2 linked regions of the Kluyveromyces lactis genome follow. The protein of the gene in region 1 purifies or fractionates together with the protein of each later gene. This does not show direct contact. Links are inferred from orthologs where the notes say so. Each region holds a gene or a part of one and is shown on either strand. Other genes may lie near its edges.

Region 1 (4,359 bases):
TCTCGTTGAAAGTCCATGGAGTAGAATCTTGAGCAATACCATGCAATGCACCTGCTTTACCAGCAAGAGATTCGACAAACATACCAATTGTCATACGAGATGGGAAAGCATGAGGATTAATAATGACATCTGGTTGAATACCTGTTTCACTGAACGGCATGTCAATAGTTGGCCATTTTCTAGAACAGACACCCTTTTGACCGTGTCTGGAAGAGAATTTGTCACCGATTTGAGGAGTTCTTCTGATACGGTATTTAATGGTAATTGCTTGCAGTTCTTGGAATTTTGAAGATTCGTCACCAATTAATTTAACTTCCTCGATATATGCAGGTTCAGAAGAGTGGTAAGTTTTGATCTTCGTTTTATTCAAGGTGTCATCAAAGTATGCACAAATTGGATCACCTTCTTCAACGTAGGTACCTATCAGTGGTAAACCATCGTCGTCAAGCTTTTCAAGCCATTCCTTGGGCCACTCGTCTGTACCGAATCCGAAATGCTGGGTAATTGGATCACCACGGCTTCTGTTCATAGACAAATTGACCTTTTCCACCTTATACATTGTACCATATCCAAAACCTCTTTCATCAGCCGATTTGTTGATAATCATTGCATCATCCATATCGTAACCAGTGTAAGAAATAACCGCAACCACTGCATTGGTACCGTTAGGGAAGTTATCCATACCATAATCATCGTAGAGGTTAGCCTTAACAATTGGTGTCTGACCGGTTTGCAACCTGTATAATTTGTTATCAGAACGATGGCATAGAGCCACACCAGGAGTACCCATGGTTTGTTTACCCATTTGACATTGGTACATATTTCTTGGAGATTGATTGAAATCAGAGAATGGTGTTAGGTTAGCCAAGATAGAAAGAATGTTTGTTGGAGAGAACTCAACGTGGGAATGAACGTTATTTTCGATTTCTTCCGGAGTCACAGCAATATTCATATATACTTGTTCAAATGGACCCACAATATCTTCCTTATCTAATGGAAGATAACGCACCGGACGCATCATTCTAGAATGACCACCAAAGAGGAAAAGACCGGGGTATTGACCACTAGTGGTAGGTGGAACATATCCAACTTCCAAGTCTACAGGCAAACCCGGAGTCTTGCCTTCCACTTTCCAGAATCTCAAAGTGTCAGCAACGACCTTACCCTGTTCGTGAGAACACCAACCGATAATCTTACCATCTAACTGAACGCAACACATGGAAGGACCAGCAGCAATGACGTGTGCAGCTGGAGTGACACCAAGAGAGTACAAGATGGAAGGTATCTTTGAAACATCTGATTGTTCAGTAGAAATTTTACATTTATGCGAAAGATGGTTCAATAAACCACAAGGAGAACCATCTGGAGTATGCACCGGACAGAAGAAACCCCAGGATTCCGGTAACAACTTTCTAACGGTAGTAGTCTTTAATTGAGCAAAGAAGGAACCTCTATGCACCATTCGGAAATGAGAAATGAAACGGTAAAAGTTAATCTTTTCTGCCACAACAGTGTAACCAGAAACTTGCTGCAAATCTAGACCAGATTGAGAAACCAAATTACCAGTAGATAAGAAATACTGTAATTTTGACCCAATGTTTTCATTGACTCTCATAAGCACCTTGTTCATATATTTTTGATCCTTAAAGTTGATAGCTAACCCACGATTTATGTCTGTTTGAATTTGTAACCTGATGTTTTGTAGGTATTCTTCAATTTTTTCCTTGACAATCATACCATACAAGAACCCACCTAATAGAATTTCTTGATGTTGAGCTGCATCAGGATTATCTGGGGAACATTCACCAGCAACCAACGAATAGAGTTTTCTGATCATGAATAATAGCATGTTGAATTTGTCTTTGTTGTTTTCACCAAGGTGAACTAAAACAATACGGTTTAAAAGTTCCTGGCCGACTTGCAGATCGGTCATATCGGGAGAGGCTTGGAATACAACACGGAATTTGTCACCCAAATATTGCAAAGTTTGTTTACGGTTTTGTAGAGTTGGGTATCTCTTCTTGAAGCCACGTAGTAACAATTCAAGACGATCTGTCAAGAAAGAATTAGAGGTGTCTCCACCGACAACGTGATCAAAAATCTCTCTATCATTGGTATCGCATAGTGCTCTTAAGATCATTACCACTGGAATTAAATATTCATTTTTCCTCCAAGAGAACCTGAAGGTAACTTGACCATCGTTTAAATAATGCAAGACGTTAGTTTGAGATGTTTGATCTGGTCTAACGGATCTAATCTGAATACCATATTGGGAGTAGGAGGCACCTCTGTTAGCAAATGAAGGTCTAATGATAGCCATTGGATGGTTTCTACGTTGCACAATTAACATTCTGATCAATTTTTCGATACCATTAACAATGAAGTAACCACCAAATTCATCAGATTCTTCCCTATGTTCGACTAATTCGTATGGAGACATCTTGTTCAAATGACATCTATTGGACTGAAGCATGATTGGCAAACCACCACAGTCTCTTACTTCAGTAAAAGTTTCTTCACCATCATTGACCGACCATTTCAACTTCAGCAAAATTTTCCCTCTGTATGAAGTCAATCTCTGTCTGGATTCAGATGGGAAAACCTTGCGTTCTACTGCAGAAGAAACACCATCGTTAGAAGTTGGTTTAGAAATAGACACCTGTTCAATACTCAAAGATAATTTGTTACCCAAGTAGTTTGGGTTAGTGTCCGATCCCTTACCATCGAAAATAACTTTGGATCCAATATCTTTTGCCCCTAGGTTTAACAAACCACCATCAGGTCCCTCAGTCAATGCATTGAAGGAGCCAATGTGTGGCTGTACAGCGTCCGCTAGGAATGGGTATGCAGATTTATCCTTTGGAGGATTAATAAATCTTGATTCTCTTTCCAAAGTCCTGAAACTAGCAGTTCTGTTCAAACGCTCAACTGGAGCTTGTGGAGGAAGAATAACCGAAGACATGGTAACAGCTGATATATCTTAATGGTATTATTATTAGCACTGTCCCGCTTCCTATGAATCCTGCGAATATTAGCCACCGGTTTTATGATAGAGCAGATAACGTATATTAGGTCAGAACAGTGAAAAAAGGCACAATGGTTTTCGGTTTGAAGTAATCGAAAATGCTGTTTGAAGATAAAATCAAGCTATCCTCGAAACAATGGAATTCAAGCTTAGAAGAGAGAGTATTTTAGTTAATTGAATGTTGTTGCTTGTCAATTAGACTGTAGTGAATAAAGAATCTAGATATAGATGAGATGAGATGAGCTGAAAATTTTCAAAAGCTGATATTTCAATTTTTGCAAAAGTTCTTTCTTTTCTTTTTCACCACGTCCGTTTGATATTCCTCGCAAGTCACGTGAGAAAAAAGAGAAGAATGATGAATTATTATTATTATTATTATCACATGACGACCGTCTCTGATGTGAGTCAGCAAAGGACTCCACCAGACATCAATTCTGCCTTGTTGGCGCAATCGGTAGCGCGTGTGACTCTTAATCACAAGGTTGGGGGTTCGAGCCCCCCACAGGGCTTTCTTTTTACCCCCCTCATTTTTCCTTTTTTTCCATCAACCATTTCTCCGTCATTCGAAGCATCAACTTCAAATTCTGGCCGCCAGTAACAATAAAAAAAAAGATCAACACACTAAGAATGGAAAGAGCTCCAAATATAAAACCACCCACGGCTTAACCAAAACAATACATGTTACTGAATTCTTTTCTGTACCAATAAGGCAAATGTTTCCCCCAACACTTCGCAAATGAGGTTAAACGAGGAGAAAAAGGTACCAAAAAATGGTGTGGTCCCAGCAACATTTAAACTCTTGGCGGTATTAAACCCTTCCTAATCTGTCAGGCTTTTCGCAAATCTAGAACTAAAAGTTACTGCTGAACTGGTCTTTCTTGGAAGAAGAACACTCACAAACTGAGTAGTGCAGGTATGTAGCTGAGGAAAAAAGTCTACTGGAGACTTCCTGTCTCAAACAGCAAACAGATGAACACCTTCCATCTACACTAAGGTACATCGCATATTCCCGTATTTTCAAACAATTTCCCAAATCGCTTCTCGTTTTCCGTTTTGCTAACCCCAGCAGTATGCGGTTATTGTGTCGATCTGGTCCTTCTTGTGCCTTTTTTTTTTGTTTACCTTTCCAGCTACTGGAGTTTCTGAGCTTTGCAGGCTCCAAAATGGCATCCTTCTGAACCGACGTACACGTGCTTCTATTTCCGTCTTATAGAGTTTCGAAACCCTGCCGAGCAAAAGAAACAAAGCCAAAGAAAACTACATGACAGGATGACGTCTTTTGGAAATTCACCAATGGGGTTTTCTCAGAAAACCCTATCGTTTATGCTCGCAAA
Region 2 (4,470 bases), on another chromosome or scaffold:
GGTTTATTAATAGTTTTCTTAGGCGGACCTGTTATGGACGCTTTCCCAACAGCGAATTTATTCCGTAGTTCGTCTAACTTTGATGCTCTTGATGGAGAGTCAGGTGACTGTACACCAGATTCAGCAGCTTTTTTTGCAGGTGTGCCGTTGGCCGAAGATTCGGTCTCTGCTCTCTCAATTACCTTGGGGGTTATATCTCCATTTTTCTTAGTTTCTTTCGGTCCTTTTTTCGTTGTAGATTCAGCTTTCTTGCGAGCAATCTCCTCTTGTCTCGCTCTTTTGGCAGCTTCTCTTTCAGCTCTCTTTCTTTCTTGCTCCTCTTGTTTTGCTCTTCTAGCAGCTTCTCTGTCGGCCCGTCTTCTTTCCTTCTCTTCCTCTTTCGCTTTTCTGGCTGCTTCTCGCTGTAATCTTCTTTGTTCTGCTTCTTGCTTCTTTTTCAATACGGATGGTGTTATTTTCTTCAGTTTGATGTCTTCGCTATTTTCTTTGTTAAAGGAGGGTTCCGTGTTTTCTTTGTTATTTTGGGATCTTTGGGATAATGTTATATTCTCATTTTCAGCATCACCATCGGAATCCTCTATGAACTCAGGGGAGATATAATCCTTTTTATTCCTAGTAGGGGAAGGCGAAAGCTGGCGATCTATCTTATCATGTAGCTGCATCGAAGGCGACGGCGTCACTTCCTTGGGTGTATCAACAGGCTTCAATGTTATTAGCCTCGAGCTAGTGACTTTGGCAGGCTGGGAAACACTCTTCATTTGGTCGACCTTACTTTCTGATTTCTGTGGATTTTCTGAACCAGCAGCTTTTCCTTCCTCATTTCCTGGTTCATCAGCACTTTCGCTTTCTTCTGAAGAGGATGATGATGAATTAGCTGAATTTGTCTTGTTAAGCTCATTTGTATCCTGAGTTTCCTCAACCGGTACCATAACTGGTCTTAATGGATGCACATTTAGTCTTTTGAGGTTGACTTCATCCATGCTATTATCACTATTTTCTGTTTCAATGTCACTATCTGAAGATGGTTCTTCACTAACGACTGCAGAAGAAGAAGAAGAAGAAGACGAAGACTGCAACGGTCTCCTTGAGGTTCCTGTAGAGATGAATTGGGCTGCTTTTTGAGCAGCCTGTCTTGGGAGCTTTGAAGGTAGGATATTTCTTGGATCAGGTTCACTATTGTCGATATCTTTGTTTAATACCGTAAGATATGGTTTTCTCGATCGTTTATTAATATCATTTTCCTGTAAAGCTCCAGCAGCTCTTCTGAAGGCCGGAGGGACATCGAATTTAGACCCCTTCAATAATTCGAGCAACTCGGATTTCTGGAAACTACCATCCATTCGGTCAGTTGGATGAATGCATACAGTATCATTGGCCTCATTTTCACTTTCTGCATTTTCAGATTCCGATTCACTGAACCCTTCTTTTCTCGTAGTATTGCTTGATAAATGGTTATCAGCTACTAGTTCTGATGCATTTTTAGCTAATTTTTCCACTTTCGCCTCCAAAGAACTTTTCCTCTGTGGTGGAAGGTCAGCTACTTTGACATTCATGCGCTTAGTAGCATCTAGAGGACTTTTCTTTGTCGGAGAACCGTTATCATCGGCAATGGATGAAGGTGCACGACTCTGCACACTAACTGGCAATGGAGCTTTTGAGTTGACTCGGACCGGAACGCTTTCTTTGTCTTCAGTAAATTCTCCTTCAGAGCTAGAGGAATCGTGCTCGTCAGGAATATACTGTTTTTTCATTGGAATTTTAGCTGACTTAGGTGGCAGAAGGCCAGCAGCTGGAGAAGAAAGACCTTCATGCATTGTTCTTTCCATCTCCGAAATCCTGGGTTCGGGAATGCGTAGCATTCCTGAAGTAATCCTTTTATTGGTGACCACCGGAGTAGAATTAATTCTTAACAAATGCTGTGCTTGCTGAGGCATTGCTAAGAAACCTGGTCTATTAGGTGTCTCTATAACGTTCATTGGTTTCATTGGAGTGCCTGATGGTAATCTTTGCTGTTTAGCTTTACTTGGATCGACTGTTTCTGATTTTGACACAGTATCTTCTGAGCCGTTAATTTTCAATCGTTTTTGCGCAATACTTGAACTTATTCTAATTGGAGGGGATTGAGGAACAGTTGGAGGTGGTAAAATGGATTTATCACCTATTTCATCATCCCCATACTCATCCTCTTCATAGTCAGAATTTACTTGTTTCGGATTTCTTTGACTCGGAGGAGGATAAATTTGGTGCGCCAAGGGTGTAGATATCCTCAATGCAGAGTTTTTTAATGCTTGCGGTCTCCTTTTTGCAACTGTTACGGGTTGATCTAATGTTGCACCTGTCGAGGTGTTTTGTTGAGAGTTCCCGTTATTCAACTTTCTTCTCTTGGAAGAGTATAATGATTCTTGCCTATCTGGATTAGATTCTAAGTCAACATCATTTCTTAAGATTACGCGAACTGTATTGTAAACATTGAACACATCTTTTACGACAAAATCAGGATCCAAATCACATTCATCTACATCTTGTAAGGTATCGATTTCTAATTCTGTTGATAAATTGGGGTAAATTTTGTTACATTTGTCTAATATTTCCTGCGAGAGCTGATATAACGTATTTGTTGGTTTCGTAAATATTAAGAATTTTTTGAGTTTCGGTCTTGTGATATGGGAGGTCATAAAACTGGAAAGATACGCTGTATTTGTTGATACATTTGGGTCTAGAGCCCCAATTCCATTCTGAGCCGGAATATTATTCGCTAATTGGGGAGCATTTCCTCCCTGTTGCAGAACCTGTTGTTGGACAGGCAGAATAAACTGAGAGGATTCTGATGATACAGAAGGTAAACCAAAATTGAAACTTCTATTAGCGCCCGCAGGCACCAACACAACTTGCAACTTAAACATTGCAAGAAAACGATCACACCTGTTTGAGTTTATAAAAATACTCTTGCGACCAGTTCAATGGAGTTGATTTCAAATTGTAACCCCAAGGACACTGCCGATAGATACAACTGTCTCGACTATTTGTTTTTGTTTTGTTCTTTGTTGATATAATTTGGTTCTCTTCATTTATGAAATGTTCAACTTTAAAATAGATAGAGGTTTTGACAGAAATGCCGCCTTCGTTTAATATGATTTGAGAAGCTAAGCGCTATTGTATTATGTACATAAGGCAAACACGTAAATATGTTAATGGTTAGTGAATAATGATATGGAGAAGACCGCAACCTGAGGGCCTGTCATTCCTAACATCAGAGATTTTAAGTAAGATTCCTTTTTTGATGGTATCGTTTATTTTCTTTTTGTATATTTTAAATATAGATGTTAATGTATCAAATAGATGAGAGCAACTTCGTCTTGAGATATCTGCATTCAGTTGGGGGGTACAAAAGAGGCGCACTGAACCTAACAATTCGAGATCGACAAATTTGAGTAATAGAATTTTTATTTTTAGTTGATAGACATTCCGTTCCCCTTCCTAGCAGGTTTATGGACCTGTCCGGCAGGTGTTTTTTTATTCTTTGCAAATGACGGCAACCTCAATGATCTCGTAGAAGGTTGTCTTTCCGTGTCATAGGTCTCGAAATTCTCAGCCATGGATTGGAAGAAAGTGTTGAAGTTTGATTGAAGTTGGGTTGATGGCATATGTGTGTAATCAGACTGAAACGTTATATTTTTATTAGCTTTAGTGGAAGCGGAAGGAGGAGATGAAACTGGGCTGTTGTCCTGATGGACTTTAACATCATACGATAGAAGGGTAGAGCCAAGCTCTCTTTTATTAAGGTCAACCATAGATCTAAGCAGAGAAAGAGCCATTGATGTTTTAAGCTCATAAGGATCAATTGGTTTCTTCAACTCTCTGGCTTCAAAAAATATCATAAGGTCAGTGGCAATAGAGTCCCAATCGATCTTCATGGTATCCCTAATGTTGAACTCTTTAAGTAGGTTTCTGACCATGAAGATATGCTGTGAGTCTTTCAATGCTTCAACTAGACGATCAGGTAAGTCCGTTAACGTATTACTGCCGTATAAAGTTGCTATTGCAGAACTCAACTTCCATTCTGAACGTGATTTCCATAAAGAATACGTATCTTCAGCGACGCAATATTCTAAAATGTAAAACGGCTTGTCATGATCGTCAGTATCATCACTATGCGAATTGGACTTTATCTTTAAGTTTCCTGTAATTGTTTCCACAGCTCTTAGTTGCAGCTGAAACACATCTTGCATCCTATGTAAATACCTTATTATCTCTTCAATTCGCGGCACGTTCTTGATTTTGGTAAGCTCGACTTTCGGCTTATTTTCACCAGCATAAACGTATATCTTATCCATTTCTCCCAATGACTCCAGTCTATTGTTATCTTCGAGTGCCACCTACAGTTATTCACCTAATTGATTACTCTCTTCTTTTTGATTACGTGTCTGTAGTGGGTTCAAGCAATCTATATTTGAATATTCACGTTGTATA

Evidence for each region.
Region 2: the proteins of RPA135 (region 1) and KLLA0_C09394g purify together in Saccharomyces cerevisiae (affinity purification with western blotting; 4 studies listed by BioGRID, with this or other methods). This does not show direct contact. The link is inferred for Kluyveromyces lactis from reciprocal best matches to the Saccharomyces cerevisiae genes RPA135 and NET1.

Annotation. Positions count from the first base shown.
Region 1 is NC_006038.1:556,430-560,788, forward strand, and holds the start of RPA135 (DNA-directed RNA polymerase I core subunit RPA135), read right to left. Parts: upstream 2,963-4,359; coding exon 1-2,962. UniProt on the Saccharomyces cerevisiae protein: DNA-dependent RNA polymerases catalyze the transcription of DNA into RNA using the four ribonucleoside triphosphates as substrates. Component of RNA polymerase I (Pol I) which synthesizes ribosomal RNA precursors.
Region 2 is NC_006039.1:816,358-820,827, reverse strand, and holds the start of KLLA0_C09394g (uncharacterized protein), read right to left. Parts: upstream 2,904-4,470; coding exon 1-2,903. Other genes in the region: chromatin-associated RNAPIII regulator FPT1, read right to left, coding at 3,450-4,334. UniProt on the Saccharomyces cerevisiae protein: Has a role in chromosome maintenance and is involved in mitotic exit. Inhibits the action of CDC14 by sequestering it in the nucleolus. Also binds to RNA polymerase I and stimulates rRNA synthesis.